Linked DNA regions of Saccharomyces cerevisiae S288C. Changing the gene in region 4 together with the main gene of any one other region gives a genetic interaction. Each region holds a gene or a part of one and is shown on either strand. Other genes may lie near its edges. The genes, in order: YOL162W, NDL1, YIR021W-A and YGR266W.

Evidence for each region.
Region 1: mutations in YGR266W (region 4) and YOL162W together harm fitness more than expected from each alone (negative genetic interaction), as found in Saccharomyces cerevisiae (one large-scale study listed by BioGRID).
Region 2: mutations in YGR266W (region 4) and NDL1 together harm fitness more than expected from each alone (negative genetic interaction), as found in Saccharomyces cerevisiae (one large-scale study listed by BioGRID).
Region 3: mutations in YGR266W (region 4) and YIR021W-A together harm fitness more than expected from each alone (negative genetic interaction), as found in Saccharomyces cerevisiae (one large-scale study listed by BioGRID).

What each region holds. Positions count from the first base shown.
Region 1 is NC_001147.6:7,737-12,545, reverse strand, and holds YOL162W (uncharacterized protein), read right to left. Parts: upstream 2,428-4,809; coding exon 1,780-2,427; downstream 1-1,779. Other genes in the region: seripauperin PAU20, read left to right, coding at 635-997; YOL163W (uncharacterized protein), read right to left, coding at 2,440-2,949; BDS1 (sulfuric ester hydrolase), read right to left, coding at 4,431-4,809.
Region 2 is NC_001144.5:642,699-647,676, forward strand, and holds NDL1 (Ndl1p), read right to left. Parts: upstream 2,276-4,978; coding exon 1,706-2,275; downstream 1-1,705. Other genes in the region: CQD2 (Cqd2p), read left to right, coding at 1-1,638; YLR255C (uncharacterized protein), read right to left, coding at 2,902-3,255; HAP1 (Hap1p), read left to right, coding at 3,717-4,978. UniProt on the Saccharomyces cerevisiae protein: Required for nuclear migration to the bud neck during cell division.
Region 3 is NC_001141.2:394,569-399,226, reverse strand, and holds YIR021W-A (uncharacterized protein), read right to left. Parts: upstream 714-4,658; coding exon 501-713; downstream 1-500. Other genes in the region: signal peptidase complex catalytic subunit SEC11, read right to left, coding at 1-494; MRS1 (Mrs1p), read right to left, coding at 842-1,933.
Region 4 is NC_001139.9:1,020,838-1,027,316, reverse strand, and holds YGR266W (uncharacterized protein), read right to left. Parts: upstream 4,662-6,479; coding exon 2,556-4,661; downstream 1-2,555. Other genes in the region: HUA1 (Hua1p), read left to right, coding at 664-1,260; FOL2 (GTP cyclohydrolase I), read left to right, coding at 1,582-2,313; methionine--tRNA ligase MES1, read left to right, coding at 5,464-6,479.

The DNA.
Region 1 (4,809 bases), on a different chromosome or scaffold from region 4:
AATATCAACTTCTGTCAATACCATCCGCCTTCAGCGGCTACAATTACGTAATTGCACCAAGATAATCGCCGAGAGTTCACAGATTTGCAGACCCCAACAGTATACGACTCCCGACACACGTCTGATATCTTGTACGGATTTCAAGAGATAGAAATATTTCTTCCATGGAGATCGTTTAGAAAACACCGAATAAAGGCTTAGACAATAAGCTTCTGAATGAGCGTTCAATTCAGACGTTCTTTTTTTGACCAAAATGGAAGCATCACAGGCACGCGAAAAGGGTTTTTTCAAGGCACATCTCGACACCCCTACAATTGGCATTCTCACTTCCCCCACATACGAATACACATAGGCACCATAGAACAATACCTTCGCATAAGAAATTCATGATATATGCATGCCTCGTTCAGGAACAAGTGCATCTTATTTTTAATGATGAAGATGGTGCGAAAGATGAAACATGAAAGGTGTGAAGTGATAAATGAGCATCTGTTAACAAATCGTTTAAGTAGTGATGACTGATGAAGGCATGGGTATAAATAGAGCTGCTTCAACTGTATGTCTTTGAGAATATTTTTTTATTCCTTTCTTTCCTGTTAAGCTCATATCAGCACTAAAAAACAAAACAAATATAATGGTCAAATTAACTTCAATCGCTGCTGGTGTCGCCGCCATCGCTGCTGGTGCTTCCGCAACCACCACTCTAGCTCAATCTGACGAAAGAGTCAACTTGGTGGAATTGGGTGTCTACGTCTCTGATATCAGAGCTCACTTGGCCCAATACTACATGTTCCAAGCCGCCCACCCAACTGAAACCTACCCAGTCGAAGTTGCTGAAGCCGTTTTCAACTACGGTGACTTCACCACCATGTTGACTGGTATTTCCCCAGACCAAGTCACCAGAATGATCACCGGTGTCCCATGGTACTCCACCAGATTAAAGCCAGCTATCTCCAAGGCTCTATCCAAAGATGGTATCTACACTATCGCAAACTAGAGACTGATGCCTTTACGAATGAAAATCCATAGACAGTGAAAAGTAATGAAAAATAAAATAAAAAACTACTTTTTTTGATGATATAAATACCGTTGATTATATAAATGTATATTAATATTATAAACATATTTGATCAATGACGGTGTTCGTGAAGCATTTTATGAATATGATAAACATAGAAAGAAATTTTACACTATTGTAGAAAAAGCGTGGACGGTAATAAAGCTAACAGAGTATGTCCAATAAACAACAATGAAATTGGAAGCGTATGACTTCGCAGCACTTTGTCCTTCCATAAAAATGAGTCGCTGCTTCTTTTTTCATTTTTTGGCGCGTCGCGTCGGGCCGTATAGAATATGCGTCACTTCTAAGAACATGATTGCAGATCAGGGCAGTGCGAGCTACAAGTCATGGTATCAGACTCTCATTTAGAGACCCTCATTTTTCGACACGTAAAATATCAAAATTTTTGGGTTGGCACAGTTTTTTGTGGAACCGACCAAGAAAACCAAGATTTATAGCAAATTATAAATTTCAAATCTCGAATATTTAACTCAACAATATAGTGAATAAGCTCATCATACCCTAAACAAACCTAAGCAATCACCTAAACATATAATTAAGGAAAAAGAGTGATTAGTTCATAAACACCAACGGCAATAGGGTAAATATAAGTCCTTAATCCATCTTATTGAAAATAGTATAGAACATTAAATGAAAAAAATGATTCACAAACTTAAAAAATACATAACATGGAGATTGTATCCATATTTCTACATAGTTCAGTGATAGAATCTAAAATCGAGTCTACGTGAACCAGCATCACTAGTAGTACTTAGATAGTGGTCTTTTTCCTCTTCTGACATTGCATTCCACCTCTTATCCCTCTGCTTGTTGATATAGACATAAATCAATTTGCTACCAATTAATATTGGAAACATAAAAAGTGCCAAACCAAAAAGAACTCCATTTCCCTTACGATAGAGTGGGGCATCGCTTTTCGCATAAATGTTTGAGGATATGATGAGACCTGCTTGCACGAACATATTGTACAAGCAAGTAGATACTGTTCTTGTTTTAACTGATTGGGAGTTTCTAGAACACAAGGATACACAAATTGCATGGATATACGGATTATCTAATATTAAGGTAATAATTGCATAAGTTCCCCATTTATTAAACATTGTACCTTTCCAAAAGCGAAGAACTGCAAGAAGAGGAACAGTGTACAACGGTTGTAACAGACTCAAACCTAGCCTGTTATTACATTTTTCTGTCGACCATGTTAAACCAAACAGCAGGAGAATATGAAGAACAAAGTTAGGAATAGCTAGCAGGTTGGCTTGAAAGGTTGTGAAACCGATACTTCTCAATACCAAAGTCAGGTATGTGGCCAAAACGTTCGTAGGGATATAAGCCAAAAGGCCCATCAAGTAGATAGGCTATATATAGTAATCTGTTATCCCCTGCCATAACATTTTAAGTGACATACCTTGCCTATTGTTCATATCCCCTTTTGTCGGATCATCTCTCAGAATCTTGTTTACGATGATTTTTTCTTCCCTCTCAGTGAACCATCCTTTCTTGCTCCAAGGTTTCTTCGTTTGAACTACGGAGGGTACCATCAAGAAGTATGCACTGATACCGATGACTAAAGTGAAAATTCTTTCTATCAAAAAAAGCCATTGCCACCCTGCCATGCCACCTATCCCTCTCATGTGAAAAACCCCGAAGGCCACAATTGAAGTGATGATTTGTGTTAGAGATAGTGTCACCCAGAAGAACGACAGTCTTATTGACAATTCTGAAGAGCTGTAGAAGTACGACATCCAGAGAACCAAATCAGCCACAAAACCACCTTCAAATAGGCCCATAAGTGCTCTACATGTATAGAAAGAACTCTTCCCTGTCATTTTGCATTGCAACGTAGCCACTAGGGACCACGCTATCATTTGCAGAGGAATCCAACTATCAGCTCCTAGTTTCTTCGAAATGAGTTGTGAGGGTAATTCTGCACACAAGAAAGTCAAGTAGAATATGGTGTTTCCAACGTTATAATTGTTAGCATTTAAACCCAAATCATGCAATAAGTTATCGGCGACCGCTTGTGACAAATTACCTCGATCAATCTGCAAGGCCACAAATAGGAAACATGAAAGGGGAGTAACATGCCAGTCTAACTTTCTCACTACTTTTTATTCTTCTTTCTTAGTCCATTCAAATGTTGTATCAAATCTTTCAAGACATTCATACTTAGTGGACTCGTACAACTGTCTATAATACTTTTCCACAGCAGGATTTAAAAAGGGGTTTTCAGGCTTTCCAGAGAGTTGTCGGTATTGGGAATGTTCACCAATGAATAGAGAGGTTTATCAGAAAGGGACTCCTCTAACTGAGTAACTGTAGTTTCTACAGAGGCTTTTTCAGGCTTGTACTCAAACATAAATACGAAACAAAGTGTTTAGAGAGTGCTATATTAATTTGTGTCTGAAATAGTACGTTTATATACTAAGTATATTGGCTCAGGCTGCCTTCGGTTATCAGCAGTGTCAATAAAGATTTACATATCTGTGTAATGGATAAAAAACTCTATGACACCCCGATTGCTGTTGAATAGTCTAGGTGAGTATATTATCTTCAGCAGATGGCTTTTCCATCAGAGCCATTGTGAAGAAATCGGAGGAAAATTGTGGTCTATTCACAATGACAAGCGGTGAGCGTCACCCTAAAGAACACCGAAACTCGGCGAGCTGCCAGATAAGTTCTCTTTGTTTTGTCTTAGCTTGTGGCGCAGGGTCCTCTGAGTATTCTCTTACATCGCGCCACAATATACGCCACAAGCCCGAAACAGTTGTAATCACTATGAGTTTGTATTCCACCGTTAGTGTGAATCTATCTTTCCACTATTAGCTGGAATGTCGATGAAAACCAGGTGATGGAAAGTAGATGGTCTGAAACTACCATTTTGAAGAACGCAAACTTTATCGAAGTAAATCGAAACGGCAGATTCATTTGAATTTGAGATAACTTTAAATTTCAATTCACAATAGTAAATGTTATTAGGAAAACAGAATATACGAAAAGCTCTCTTCGGAAGTATAGGTGACTGTAAATAGAAACCTGTAGCTCCACCAAAGTATTATAGATTACTGTGTCTTCCTTTTTTAAACACTCTGATTCATTAGTTTCACTGTATATTAATCCGTACTTTTCCAATTGTAGTAAATACGATAACACCTCGAACCACACTTTACAAGCTTTATAACTTATATCATTCTCGATATCGTATATGATAATCAGTGGGCCAGGAATGATTTCTCTTCTTCACAAAAGGCCTCGTATTGAAGAAATACTATTGAAAAATTATATAATATAGTGGATAAAAAAGTTGGCATCTAAAAATCAAGTTTCTCGCCGATTTCTGATAATATATTCAAGTGCTTCCCCCCATAGGCTCAACGACGGGAAAGGACTGGTCGAAGTCGTCAAACAACTTCAACAGCTCTTCAATTCTGAGTCGATTACCCTCTATTTCGACTTCTTTTGATCTTAAAAAATCAACCATAGTAATTTCATTGGCCAATAAAGCTTCAAATGTAGTTCTTTTGAGAGTAATTGTTGCATCTGCATCTGTCTGCCAGCCCTGAATGTAGGTCAGGGCACAGTTTTCGAGAGTGATCACGAACCGTTCATTTGAATTAATGAAACACCAATTACTAACGATAATTTTACCTTCTGCTTTCGTAGCGTTCAATCTCACAGCAAGAAAGTCAAAAAACATTTCGTTATTCAAAACGGCAATATTGTTGCGC
Region 2 (4,978 bases), on a different chromosome or scaffold from region 4:
ATCCCTCAAAGAAGCCCCAGGACAAGAAAATCTCTTCTGGTGGGTGGGACTATTGCATCAGCAGTAGTTTTGTACAACTTTAATGACACTTTTCATGATTCTGTAAAGCACACGGCACTGACGACTAAAAGAATCGCTGTCGTCACACAAGCTACCACTCGTTGCTTCTACCATTACAAGAGGGCTCTAAATAAAAGCTATGAGAACAAAAAAGAACGAGAAGTTGCCTTAAATAAATGTCATAAGATGTGTGCCTTAATCACGTTGCATGCGCTACGATCGAATGGTGGGATATATATCAAATTAGGCCAGCACATTGGGGCCATGACCTACCTGTTGCCTAAAGAATGGACGGATACAATGATACCGTTGCAAGACCACTGTCCCGAATCCACCTACGAAGAAATTGATGAGTTATTTAAAGAAGATCTAGGCACCAGCATTGAGGATATGTTTTTAGAATTCAACAAAACCCCGATAGGTGTAGCTTCCTTGGCACAGGTTCATGTGGCAAAACTAAAAAATAGTGACGGTAAAGGTTCTAGTGTAGCTGTCAAATGTCAGCATCCATCGTTGAAGGAGTTTATACCATTAGATGTTATGCTGACAAGAACAGTGTTTGAACTGCTGGATGTCTTCTTCCCTGATTATCCGTTAACGTGGCTTGGTGATGAGCTTCAGTCTTCAATCTACGTGGAACTGAATTTTACCAAAGAAGCTGAAAATGCAGAAAAAACCCGTCATTATTTTAGTAAGTTCAAGAAGCAAACAGCATTGAAAATACCCAAGGTCATTGAAAGCCACAAAAGAATTTTGATTATGGAATATGTTGGAGGCAAAAGGTTGGATGATTTGGAGTACATTGACAGTCACGGTATCTCGCGCAGTGAAGTTTCGAGTTGTCTCTCTCATATTTTCAATAACATGATTTTTACTCCCAATGTAGGTATTCATTGTGATCCTCATGGAGGAAATCTGGCCATACGATCTGTTAAGCCCGCTAAAGATAATGGATACCATAACTTTGAAATTGTTTTATTTGACCACGGACTCTATAGATATCCTAGCACGAGAACAAGAAGACTTTATGCCAAATTTTGGTTGTCGCTCCTATTCGACAAGGACCAGACAAAAATGAAGAAGTATGCCAAAGGATTCGCAAACATCACCGACGAACAGTTTCCCCTTTTAGCGGCTGCAATTACGGGCCGTAGCATTGATGCTGCTTTGAATTACGACATTTCAACGAGTCGAACACAAGAAGAAATGGACGTCATGGCAAATGGGATCTTGGAAGGAACGTTACTGAGCGACTTGATGAGCATTTTGTCTAGAATCCCTCGTGTAGTGCTTTTGATATTGAAGACTAACGACCTAACCAGACATCTTGATGAATGTCTACAGAATCCACTCGGGCCAGAGAGGACTTTCCTGATCATGACGCAATACTGCGCCAAGACGGTCTACGACGAAAAAGTGGAAAGAATTAATTCGGAGTATGCGAGGTGGTCTATTAAATGGATGTGGGAGAACTTGACAAACTGGATAGTCTATGAGAGGCGTATTAATCAATTGTATTTTTATGATTTTGTGTTGTGGTGGAAAAAATTTATTCCGAAGACTTGGTTGTCATCTTAAATCGTTAGCGTTCTTTCTACTTGTAAATATATACGTAAAATTATATATAACAATTTTATATGTGTCATTAAACGGAAGACGTTGTTGCTATCACAGTGGATTGTGTTATTTGGGTATTTGGAATATTACAGTGACTTCTTGCAGCGTTGTTAGTTTTTGCCATGTTCTGCAAGTACAAGGTTGAAGATGTGGTCGAGACTTTGATAGTATCCTTAAACAACTTCATTTTTTTATTTTGACTGGGTAACGACCTGGTGTTCCTTCTAGTCTCACCGCTAGTGGCTTCTTCTTTGCTGACTCTTAACTTTTGCAGCGCCTCTTTGGTGTCGAGTAACTCGTGTTCCAGTAGAACGTTGCGTTCCAGTCGTCGGTCACTCTCCAATTGTAATGTCTCTATCTTATTCCTCAGTTGGATATTTTCATTTTCCAACTCATCTACCTGTATCTCTAAATCTGTTATCTGTTTCTTATTGCACTTATTTTGTTGTTGGCTCTCAAGAAGATCGCTTTTTAACTTTGATATTACTTGTTCCAAATCATTTTCATATTCTTTCGTGGCGCCTTCAAGCTCGCTCAACTGGGTCTCCAGTGAGGAGATTATCTGTATAGCTGTTTCCAAATCCAAATTCGGCACCATAGGAAAGTCGCAATTGTTGCACGTATATGTCCCTTGGATATTCCAATTAAATTTGCGAGGATTGTTCTTTCGGCCGTTCGTGGTTTGTTGTAGCCCTTATTATCCCTCTTTTTCATCCTTAATTGCAAATTTATGTATGAAAACTTTCATTTCTAATGTTATTAATTTTCCCGATTCTGCAAACTAATTGATAAAATAATTGATACTTGCCGTCACAGATGATATAGAGAACGTTCAGTTTTTTTATTGTTCTATTGTAAAAAAAAAAAAAAAAGGAAGAAAAAAGCAAGATCCGATAGGAGAAGACCTCTTTAGCGGCTTTACTGCGCTACAAATAAGGTTACGAATATGCGGAATAGTTCATGATACGTTGTTGAGTTATAGTATGTAGCCAATATTTCCTGTTTTTCCGCTGTTACCCTTTTCGAAGGATCGATGAACGCTTCTGTCACTTAGTAAGCAAATGTACGAAACCCAGAGCATTGTATGTACACCAGCAGTCGTTTTTTGTAGCTCTTTTCCATGGATGGACGATGATGGCAAGACGCGATCGTGGCGGAGCCTCACTAAGAAAAACAATTGTGGAGAATCTATACACACAGAAATCGTACTTCAAGAAATATTGATTAGCGAGCCTTTAAGCACAGAACAATCTCTATAGCCAACATCTTGTGGAAGCTACAACTGTTTTTCTTGTTCCCGCTTGAGTAGGGCCTTACAAGGCAAGACCGTATAAAATAAAGATAACTCCTCCGCCGTATCCTGAATTTCGTGTGCCCTTTCTCTCTCTCTCTCTTCCTCTTTCTTCCTTTCCCTTTCCCTCTTCTTCTTATCTCAACAACCGCCCAGCGCATTAGCAAACCACAGTACGAGCTGTACGGCTGAGCCACTGCACCTGTCTGGCTTGCCCCTTTTTGTTGAGTAACCGGGTAATAATTCGGCTGTCTAAACGATACAATCCTCGTTCCACCCACACCCATTCACCCGTCGGGCGAAATCCACCCTCGCGGCCTCGTTTAGAATACCAGGCAACGGCACCAGCAACGGCCCCGGTAACTCGATCGCGTTCATATATATCGGATATACTCTTGAGGCACAATTTTTTTCGGTTTTCGGTTTTTTCTATTATTCTTCGAGATGCAAAGCACACATTTGAGACTCACAACTCAAGATACCGCAAGCACACAGACGCTATTGTTCTCCCAAAGAATAGGTTCCTGCAGTGCTCTTTTAAGGTTTGAAGATATTGCACAAAATTGTATCTGATTTCATCTCATCGAACCTCATTCCATCAACTTCCTTTTATCAAAGCATCTTGTTTTGTTTTCGCAGAAAATTTTTCTTCCCTTTCAATTTGGCCTTTTAGTTTTTCTCCAGTCGCAGGCAAGAAGGTAAGGAAATAGAAGAAAAAGAAAAAAAAAAAAAGGGAACAATAGGTTAGATGTCGAATACCCCTTATAATTCATCTGTGCCTTCCATTGCATCCATGACCCAGTCTTCGGTCTCAAGAAGTCCTAACATGCATACAGCAACTACGCCCGGTGCCAACACCAGCTCTAACTCTCCACCCTTGCACATGTCTTCAGATTCGTCCAAGATCAAGAGGAAGCGTAACAGAATTCCGCTCAGTTGCACCATTTGTCGGAAAAGGAAAGTCAAATGTGACAAACTCAGACCACACTGCCAGCAGTGCACTAAAACTGGGGTAGCCCATCTCTGCCACTACATGGAACAGACCTGGGCAGAAGAGGCAGAGAAAGAATTGCTGAAGGACAACGAATTAAAGAAGCTTAGGGAGCGCGTAAAATCTTTAGAAAAGACTCTTTCTAAGGTGCACTCTTCTCCTTCGTCTAACTCCTTGAAAAGTTACAACACTCCCGAGAGCAGCAACCTGTTTATGGGTAGCGATGAACACACCACCCTTGTTAATGCAAATACAGGCTCTGCTTCCTCTGCCTCGCATATGCATCAGCAACAACAGCAACAGCAGCAACAGGAACAACAACAAGACTTTTCCAGAAGTGCGAACGCCAACGCGAATTCCTCGTCCCTTTCTATCTCAAATAAATATGACAACGATGAGCTGGACTTAACTAAGGACTTTGATCTTTTGCATATCAAAAGTAACGGAACCATCCACTTAGGTGCCACCCACTGGTTGTCTATCATGAAAGGTGACCCGTACCTAAAACTTTTGTGGGGTCATATCTTCGCTATGAGGGAAAAGTTAAATGAATGGTACTACCAAAAAAATTCGTACTCTAAGCTGAAGTCAAGCAAATGTCCCATCAATCACGCGCAAGCGCCGCCTTCTGCCGCTGCCGCCGCTACCAGAAAATGTCCTGTTGATCACTCCGCGTTTTCGTCTGGCATGGTGGCCCCAAAGGAGGAGACTCCTCTTCCTAGGAAATGTCCAGTTGACCACACCATGTTCTCTTCGGGAATGATTCCTCCCAGAGAGGACACTTCGTCCCAGAAGAGGTGTCCCGTTGACCACACCATGTATTCCGCAGGAATGATGCCGCCCAAGGACGAGACACCTTCCCCATTTTCCACTAAAGCTATGATAGACCATAACAAGCATACAATGAATCCGCCTCAGTCAAAATGTCCTGTGGACCATAGAAACTATATGAAGGATTATCCCTCTGACATGGCAAATTCTTCTTCGAACCCGGCAAGTCGTTGCCCCATTGACCATTC
Region 3 (4,658 bases), on a different chromosome or scaffold from region 4:
CCCAGCAGAGCACTCAACCCCAACATACCTAACAATGCAAACTTGGCATATTTGTTCTCGCTAATCCAAATCGTAATGTACCCTAGTTGTGGAAAGTAGCCCTTGACGGTCCCTACAATCTCCTTTGACTTGTTCAAGTAAATTTTCTTATTAGCATATAGTGAGATATCATTGCCGGCGTTATTGTCACCTTTGGTCAGGAGGAATTGCTTGTCCGCGTGATTGTTATGTTGCCTCAAAACTCTATGCACAATGGGGATTTGTTTCCCTTCGACCTCATACACCACGACATCACCTACTTGGTTGAAAGTATTTCTATTCCATAGGAAAAGGATATCACCCCTTTGGAAAGCTGGTTCCATGGAGCCTGAAAGCACCACCACGATCGGAGAAGCGCTATTAGTAGCAATGGCTAAGCCTTGCCAGAACATGTAAGCAGATGCAAACAAAAAGCAAACGTTCAATAGTTTCTGCAATTCAAATCTTAGATTCATCTTGTGCTAACTCCCTTGGGGTTTACTTTCCGGTATATTTCTGTAGTATATTGTTTCTGCACCATTTATTTCCTTGGAGATTATTTTTTTGAAATCGCTTTTGCCAATGGAAAAAAGTATACGTATGGTAATAATAATAAGAGCAACAGCGCTCTCTGAAATAGAAGATACCAGCAGCTTCGTGGTCTTGGGAGTCTTGCAGCTGACAGAGAATGACATTGTTGTGCAGGTGTGTCACATAAGATCTGGAAAAAACCAACAGCTACAGAAAGAACCGCCCTCACGGAGAATAAAGTCAATAGTAGCTTTTTTTTACGTACTTTCTATTTACATGCTATATAAGAGGATTATATCTTTGCGCCTTTGAGAAACTTTGAGGAACCGGCCTGAAAATGTTGTAGATTGAGCTTTTCTTGCTTAACGTAGTCGTTGAATTGCTTTAGGACGCCTGAGTCCAACCTACCATTGTCCTTCATCACAATGTCAACGAGGTTGCTATACGTACGAAGAACTTTACTCGACTCCATAGTAGCGAGAAACACCTCTGTCATATCAGATGCATCTTTTCCTGTGTCCAGGGAAAGACAATCCTTCAGGGAGAAGTTTAGGCCCGTTGTCGAGGATAGTATGGGGAATTTAAGTTTCCAGCCTTTATCCAAATGAAGACACATTAGCGGGTCGATGTCATTATCGAAGGCGGATCGCAGTAATCGCTTGGTGACAACCTCCTTTATAGTGGCACGTACCACCGGATCGTACATCTGATATTCTCGAGGTACAGAAATGGAAGGGTTTTCCTTTAATGAGACTCTTATGGGAGTCAATTCGCACCAGAAGGTGTCAATGAATTCAGGATTGCAGACAGCTGCAAGCAAACGAGCTTTTTCATTGGTAGAAGTTACGTACACTCCTTGGCATTTCGCGTATAGTAGGTGTTCTAGGATGTTTGATTGCAGTTTACAATTAAAATCCACCAGGTCTGATCGCTCTCTTTCTATAGAAACAAGATTCGTCATATTAGGAGATACACCAAGAATCGATATGATCTTTTCAGTTGCAAACAGTGTATCAACAGGTAGTAAACTGATATTCTGTCTTCTGTCAGTTGCAAATGTACTGTCAAAGGGTATTTTTTGCCAATCGACCAAGCTAGTGTTGAACTTATCATCAACGGTCATCTTGCAAAAAGAAAATGAGTCGTTTGTCAGGAAAACACTAAACAAGTTGACTTTGCCATCTTCAACGAGACGACCCCTCAACTGCTCGAAAATGCCACATCGAGAGACCAAAAAGGTTCTCAATGGCGCCTTTTTAGTGTCATACCATTCTTTTTTACTACCTAGGATCATCGACAATGATTTTAGAGTTTTAAAATTTGCTTTGCGGCAATACAAATCTATAGCCGGGATCACCGACCTTGTTATATTCTTCGGAGACATCTTTAGAGTAACCACAGATATTCAATACCAACCTATACTTCCATTGCTGCTTGTCTCACATCTAAACTTCGCCGTTTAGCGAGTTTTCATAATTTTTCACTTACCAGCACTTTTTCATTTTTCCCTTTTCCGTTGTTGAAACGGATCAAAGTTTGGAATAATAAGGATACAAAACGCCAAAAGAATGCGAACTTTCAAGCGTGGAAAAGTATCGAAAGACATTCATTCAAAAGATTCTAACGTGATTATCGTAAATAGCTGGAATTGTAGATATTTACAATGACATAGATCATTTTTCTTCGACGAAATTACGGCCTAATGTCGAGACAAGAATAATATGACGCTGATCTGTGTTTTGACAAGAATATGAATGATCTTAAGAAAAGGTTTCGCTGAATCAATTGGAAGACAGCGTCTTCAATTGTCCTACTAAATTCTTTACAGATGACATCTGGGTCTGGGGAGATCATGCAAAAAAATAAGACATCATTTATAACTTTCAACCTTCCGCTCACAGGACAAATTCTCGAAGACGCTACGGAAAGATGCTGAGCTTGATCATAATTCTTCAGGCTCCCAATTCAAGAATACAATTACTTAGCGTGGGTGCTTCTGCTCAGTCTTCGTTTCCTATCTCCACATACCAATCACTCGTTTGTTACTAATTCGAATAATTTACTGCTGTAAGGAGTCGTACCGCCAACTAAATCTGAATAACAATTTGGCTGCTAGAAGTTAAAAAGTAGGCGCTGCAATGATTATGTGGTATGATCAGATTGTGTCGCAACGCTCAGCGGGGTTTTGGCTCAATGGGACCGCTGCTAATAAAACGTTTAACTAGCGAATTTTGGAACACACCGGTTGACAAAAGTATAAGGAGTCTCTTTCCGTGAGTTCCCCTCTTCCTCTCACTGCACTTCAACTATGCCTTATAGCAACCAAGAAGCTAGAAAATGCCAACTATTAAAAAGATAACCTCTTTGGAAGCAAATAAAACGGAGATTATCTTGGGATCTATTTCACAAATTTACGGCTAATTGGAATGAACAGCGCCAAGTAGCACTGGTCAAACTGCAGAGAGTATTAGAACTTGCTTTATTCCGTATATCGTACTTTAGGTCGTCAGTTTTACCACTTCGGTACGCAAATGAAAATGAAAAGCTCATTCACAACTTAGACACAATTTCGCCGTTTACAAGTAGCTGAAAAGTCCATCTATCGAATTATGAATGATACTATTTTAAATATAGTCGTTGCTGCACTCGTTTTCCATGTTCTTTTTATCCACACATCCGATGTTTTACTTACAGTTGAGCATCTCAGGGCCAGCGACAAATATAAACATATTATACTCAAAATGAAGCTCGTTGAAAAGAGGATATTTCTTAACCTCTTTTACAGTGCTTTCAACACCTTTTCATCTGTGTGCCATGTCAGATTAAGGATGCTCAACTTTTCGAATTATTATTACAAATTTCAAAGAAATTACTAGTCCTTTTTGTCCCCTAATGTATCCCTCATTTCATACCGTCGTTTTGGGGTTCCAACTACGTATAGCTTTCAAGTGTGGTTTTACGGTAAGAACAACCCCCCATCGGTTAGTGCGGAATACTTTCCTATTCTCATCGAGAGCCGAGCCATACACCTAAGGTGGACAGAAAGCTAAAATTCCAAAACAGAAAAATCTAACATCTTTGCTCCCTTACAAGTAGGAACGCTAGCGTATCAACCCATCTCCAGATTTGCCCAGCATTTCTGTAGAACACCCAATGCGAATGAAGACTAATGAATATTGTAAAGACAAAAAATAGGAAAAGTTTAATTAGTGATGGTTCTCACCACCCCAAAACGGTCACTTGCATGCATTGAGGACATGCACCTGCAGTACTTGTTTTTCTCGAATGTTTTTTACCATCTCTTTTTTCCTTATCTGAGCTGCTGACGCAGACGGACATTGTTTCATATTTCGAAAGCTGTGCGGGAAAACGGACCCTAACACGAATGTGAATGCGCTAATCGGTATTTCCACCACATGAAACCTGCTACTTTTTCAGTCCTCTTCGTATGCATTTCCCAAAATTCATTCGTAGCCTTGTCAACTTAGACTCAGTTCCACGGCGTGCAGGACGGGGTATTATGAATAAAAGGATCCACGGGTGAGATTTGTTTTATGTTTTAGGTATGGAGTTTTGTACCACAAAACTTTAGGAATACCGGATTGTGTGCCTACGCCAGCCCCAGAGTATGTTCTCACAGCTGTAATTCCTAGTGATCTTTTCCTGACTCCAATAGGAACGCCGGTAGGCAAATTAAACTTTCGCGGCAGGAAAAAAAAGGCTTTTTCTTTTTTGCCTTTCAGTTTCTCGGAATGTGGCATTACATAAGCATAATCCTTTTTGGGTGTGCCTGGAAAGTTCAAATTAAGGTTTTTTTCTTCTGTTTTCTTAACAAGAAAATGTCGCCCAAAGAGTTTCGGCCGTTATTTTCCTATCGAGTGGGTCCTTTTTGTCTTTAGTCCTTCTCTGGGGCTAGCGATCACTGCAAAATTAGGCTTTACTGGTACGAGTTAACTTTTTTTCTTTTTTTTGTCATCCTTTTCTTTGGGGCTAAGAATGGACTTCCCTTTTCTTTTTCTTTGTTGCGACAGTGGCTTCAAAGAACTGCTGATTGCTCAAGGCAATCAGTCCGAGCGTTTAGAAGGTGATTGTAGGCAGAAATTAACTTT
Region 4 (6,479 bases):
GTAACTTCTTTTTATGACTGTCGAAAACAACAATGGGTTAGTAAGGAGTACGCAAGATCCTTCAGACGTTTTGCTTTATTTAAGACCCTACGCAGTTCCTTTTCTGCTCCTTTTCGTCCCAATATTGCTCTTTCGCTACCACTTTGTCCTTTTTCGCACACATGGCCGTACAAAATAACAGACGGTACGTTTTTAGTGATAATAAACAAGTTTATAGAGGCAGAAAAAAATTCCTCAGCGGCTAATGCCTCAACAAGTTCAGCTGCAAACGATGAAAAGACGCACACAAAAGCGAATAGAAATAACCGATCACCACAGTTCCTCTTTAAAACATCTCAAACTCAGCATTAACTTTCAAATCAATCCAGTGAAAGTATGCTTGGTTTGACACTTCACTGCCATTTCCTCCTGCCTGCCTATCTGATGCTTTGCCACCACAAGAGTGTTTTCCCTATGGCTTAATCGCTTTTTTCCATTTATTTTTCTCTTTCCCCCTTTTAATAGAGGGAAGAGAGCAGAACATACAAACATATCATTTTCTACGGTATAGCCTCCGCCTCCATCTTTAATAGTGACACTTCCATCAAGGGAATAAAGAGGCTTCAAGTCAAGAACTAAGCAGTCCCAAAAAATACCCATAAAACGAGTATAAACCATACTGTTATGTCTAAAGACACGCATGATGATGAACTGCCGAGCTACGAGGACGTAATCAAGGAAGAGGAGAGATTGCAATCTCAACCGCCACGACCACCAAGACCAGCAGCTAACTTGGCGCAAGGGCACCAATCAAGACCCCACCAAAGGCCCTCGACAATGCCAGCAACGTCCTCATCCCAAACATATGCTCACTCACACTCTTATACGCCTACAAGTTCCCAACCACGGCCTCCACCGAGGCCACAACAGAATCCTAGCTTGCCCTGGACATACCCTCCCAGGTTTTACTGTTCCAAGTGTGGAAATACGGGTTACAAGTTGAAGAATGGACGATCTTGCAAGTCGTGTTGGAGGAGGTTTGCACCTCAAAATAACGTTGTTTCTGCACCGACATATTACACAAACTATACAATGCCCGTGTACACCAACGCATGGCAGGGTAATAGGCCCTTGTACGTTCAACCAGGGGATCCTCGCCTGGGTGGCGTGCTATGTGGTGAATGCAGAGGGTCCGGACGCACCAGATTCCTGTTGGACGAAGATATATGTCCTCTTTGTCATGGTGTAGGCAGAATTATCACCCAGCCTCAACGCTATTAGCGCATGAAAATTTAGGATTTGGATGACCCGGTACGGCCTTAGTAGAAAAGCTGTGTCGCTCACCGAAAAGAAAAAAGACCGAACAACTGTAGGATGAAAAGCATATTTTAATGCTCCTAATTTTCAAACATGTCTATTACATACTTATCACATAATCCGACTGATTTGCCCTTCTTTAACTTCTTTCATTTATTTTTACGGTGCCAACCGTCTGATCGATATAGCATCCGTTCATAAAATATTATACGACTCCATCCTCAATCGTGATTGTGCGTGCGTGACTCATTTTTTGTTAGAACCAATACTTTCAATCATCCCAAAATGCATAACATCCAATTAGTGCAAGAGATAGAAAGACATGAAACCCCGTTAAACATTAGACCTACCTCTCCATACACTTTAAACCCTCCTGTCGAGAGAGATGGGTTTTCTTGGCCAAGTGTGGGTACAAGACAACGTGCAGAGGAAACTGAAGAGGAGGAAAAGGAACGAATTCAACGCATTTCAGGCGCTATCAAGACAATTTTGACCGAACTGGGTGAAGATGTCAACAGAGAAGGTCTACTAGATACTCCACAAAGATACGCTAAAGCCATGCTTTATTTCACTAAAGGTTACCAAACGAACATTATGGACGATGTCATTAAGAATGCTGTCTTTGAAGAAGATCATGATGAAATGGTTATTGTTCGTGATATTGAAATTTACTCGTTATGTGAACATCATTTGGTGCCATTTTTCGGCAAGGTTCATATCGGGTATATACCAAATAAAAAAGTCATCGGGTTAAGTAAGTTGGCCAGATTGGCAGAAATGTATGCGAGAAGGCTCCAAGTTCAAGAAAGACTTACAAAGCAAATTGCAATGGCCCTAAGTGATATTCTAAAACCATTAGGTGTAGCCGTTGTTATGGAAGCTTCTCATATGTGCATGGTTTCAAGAGGCATTCAAAAAACGGGATCTTCTACGGTAACTTCTTGTATGCTTGGAGGGTTTAGGGCTCATAAAACAAGAGAAGAGTTTTTAACTCTTTTAGGAAGAAGAAGTATTTGAAAAAAAAAAATAAAAGCGACGATATATCGTGTATGTATTAACTAAATTAATAGAGATATACAGGATTAATATCGTTTGAGAAATCTCCATAGAGAAAGGCCACGCGCGACTGAGCTTTTTTTTTTTTCAACAATCAGTATATACATTTACTTCCGGTACAGCATCGCACTTGACAGTCCGTTAGTAATGAATAGAAAAGTTTGAACTGCTAAATAAAAATCTGTAATTATCACAAAACTAAACTATGTGATATTCAGATGTTTGATACCCTTGTGAGACAACCGTTCGCAGGTAACTGTTAACTCTGGAATGGGTAAACAGTAGCTCACAGTTTGTGAGTTTGTTTGATTTGCATCTCTTTCAACATGAATGGTGGTAAACAAGCCACCAGAAGTTACTGGATAAGAGTTAATTTGGTCATCGTTTTCCAATTTCTGTAGCTTTTGCTGTTCTGTGATGATACCAGGAATGACTATATCACCAACCTTTACGCCTAATTCTTTACTCAATTGGGGATTATTCAACAGGTTTTCTATAGGTATAATATCTGACCAGTTTCTCTTGTTCATGAAACATGATTCTTTACGTTTATGTACTCCATCCACTTCCTTGGCAAAAATTGGTACGGCATCTTCATCCGTTTCCAAATCGAAATGATGCAAGCGACATCTTTTTTGCAATAGCGTGGCCATTGCATCTGGCGGTGGGGTATTTACTATGGCGCTAGCAATGATATTAAAAATCAGCCTTACGTCTTTCGTTGGTTCTTCAATAATTCTGGTGTTTTCCTTTTCCTTCTCCTCAGACATGATGAGATGGTGTCTATGAATTTTTGCCCTAAATCTCCCAACAGATGCCAAATGTACATCGCCTGATAATATGGTTATTCTGACGCCATATTTAGCACCTATGTCTTGCAATTTCATTATCAAGTAGTTTCTTTCTTTTTTATGATGTCTCGCGCACCAATGATCATTTAAATCATCCAACAGTTCTACATCTCCATTAAATTCGTTAACGAAGCCACTAGCAAATATCCCTTTTTTAGATAAATATTTAATTGGAGCCAGTAGTTTTGAGGTAAAAAGCCATTCTAACCATACTAACCTTGGATATGCAATCGGGATACCGAGCATCAGCAATAAGTGGCCACCTTTTAAATTTTTTATTTCCCTTTCGACACGTTCCCAAATTAAGGAATAACTTCTTTCTGAGAAAATCTCGTGTAATTTCCTCTCAGTTCTACAGTCCAACCCTAACATGGCCATTTTCGGACCCAACCAAGAGAATATTGAGTGAGACCTTTCACCGATATAAGAACTCCCTTTTTCATTACCTAGAATCCATTGTTTGCTCTTGAGATAAGCATACTCATCGCCATCTTGTTTAGAAGCACTGACATGCTGCTGGAAAAGCATATAGTATCGGTAAGCCATTCTTCCCACTGTGAGGAAATTTTCAGTCTTCATGAAGGAATCGTTGTACGATCCATAGCCATCAATAATATCGTGGTCATCCCAGACATTAATGGCAGGAATACAAGCTAGTGACTTGACAAAGCATTTTTGGGTGGTCTTGGATTTTGGGGTAGAACCATACCAGTGACCGTAACCGTACCAGTTTAAATAGTGTTCTAAATAAAACTGCCTAATCTGCTCTTTTGTTTCTTCAGTGGTCTGAGTATTATACTTCTTAATTGGGTCCTTTGTCTCCAGCCAAGCTTTAAGATTTGGCGCATGCAGTTTAATATTATCGGAGTAAATTTGATCTCCGCCGCCGAGAATGGCATGATAATGAACGTATCGATGCTTTTTAAGGACATCATACCATAGAGAACCTTTGAATTTCGATGTATCTACGCTCAGTGAAAATCCGTTGCATGAATAGGAGATAACGTTCGAATTTTGAGTGAAAGAGGGAACGAAGAACCTATAATGTGGTTCCATAGTACCGTCAACAGCATATTTTACCATCTGCTCATAGTTGGACATGGGCAACTTAATCTCATACCTGTAAAACCATATATTATCATCTTTTAAAATGTCCTTATGAAAAAGTTTACCTTCGAAGAATGCCTCGTTAACTTCGATGTCTTCATCCTCAGAGGGCAAAGAGGGCCCTAGCTGATAGGTAATTTTCGGAAAGTTTTCCTCGCCTCTAACTACCACCATAATAGACCCCTCGTAGGTTTTTTCCTTAAAATCCATGTTGATGAGTCTTAATATCGGTCCACATATAATACCAGACTTTGGAATTGGCGAAGTTTCGGAACAGTCATCGCAGCCAGTGACATCGTCTCTATAAAGAGCTTCTGGGTTCCAATCGTCGAACCAGTTTGTAGCATGCATTTTTGTAGCAGTGTTTATTTTCAATTGAGTACTTTGAACCCGGTAGCAACTGTTTTGACCTTCTGTAGGACTTTCCCCTCACTAACTTTGTGGAATTTCTTTTCATTTTTACTAATGGACCCTTCGCTATGTAGCCGTGCCGATAAAAATATATTCCTGGTATTACCCGACGCTGCTATTTCAACTTTTTTCAATAAAAGGACGAAAAAATAACATGTTTAATCTTGAGACCTTCTGGGTTAAGTTTATTGATAGAGATTAAGTACTAGTTTAAAACGTCTCAGGCATAAAACATGAATTATGCTAACTTTTTAGCTACAGCGGACATAGTTGTACAAACTGAGGAAAGGCTTCTTTAACCAGGGATTTTGAAGTAGGAATTGTTGAAGTCAAAAATGGGAACCTATGGAGGGGAATTCAAAAGGCATGAAGTCAAAAGATTAACATAATATAATTCAACTTTGAAAAATATTCTAGTCAAAGCTTTCCCGAGAACGCGTAGCGTGATGATAATGGTGTATCCTATCGATCTGTCGACTTGCTATGATTATCTTTGTTAGCCGCCGAAACGATCATTTATGCATTGCCCGAGTATAGTCACTTCTTCTCAATATCACGAGGCACGAATGATTTCGGAGGCAGAAAAAATTTCTGTACGCAACTTATCGAAAGAGAAAACGAAAAAAAAAAAAAGACGATGACAAATTTTCTTCGATGTCTAATGTTAATGATGATTTGCTTCCTGATATGCATCTTTGTGGAGGAATAAAACTTGAAAAAAAAGCGGAAATTTACAACAAGCATGTCTTTCCTCATTTCCTTTGATAAATCGAAGAAACATCCTGCCCATTTGCAGTTAGCGAACAATTTGAAGATTGCCCTAGCACTTGAATATGCAAGCAAAAATTTAAAGCCTGAAGTTGACAATGATAATGCTGCCATGGAATTGCGCAATACAAAGGAACCTTTCCTTTTGTTTGATGCTAACGCTATTCTAAGATATGTCATGGATGATTTTGAAGGTCAAACTTCCGACAAGTATCAATTTGCATTGGCATCTTTACAAAACCTGTTATATCATAAAGAATTACCTCAACAACATGTCGAGGTTTTGACAAATAAGGCCATTGAAAATTACTTGGTCGAATTAAAAGAACCATTGACTACTACAGATTTGATCCTGTTTGCTAACGTTTATGCTCTAAATTCTTCTTTAGTTCATTCTAAATTCCCAGAATTGCCATCCAAAGTGCATAACGCTGTAGCATTGGCTAAAAAGCATGTTCCACGTGATTCTTCTTCTTTCAAAAACATCGGCGCAGTGAAAATCCAAGCTGACTTAACAGTTAAGCCAAAGGATTCAGAAATTTTGCCTAAGCCAAACGAAAGAAACATCTTGATCACTTCGGCATTACCTTATGTCAACAACGTTCCACACTTGGGTAATATCATCGGTAGTGTTCTTTCAGCAGACATTTTTGCTCGTTACTGTAAGGGACGTAATTATAATGCCTTGTTTATTTGTGGTACTGATGAATATGGTACTGCCACGGAAACTAAAGCTTTGGAGGAAGGTGTGACACCAAGACAATTATGTGACAAATATCACAAAATCCACAGTGACGTTTACAAGTGGTTCCAAATTGGATTTGATTATTTCGGTAGAACTACGACGGACAAGCAAACGGAGATTGCTCAACATATTTTTACAAAGCTAAATTCGAATGGTTATCTAGAAGAACAATCTATGAAGCAATTGTACTGTCCAGTTCATAATTCTTATCTGGCTGATCGTTACGTGGAAGGTGAATGTCCAAA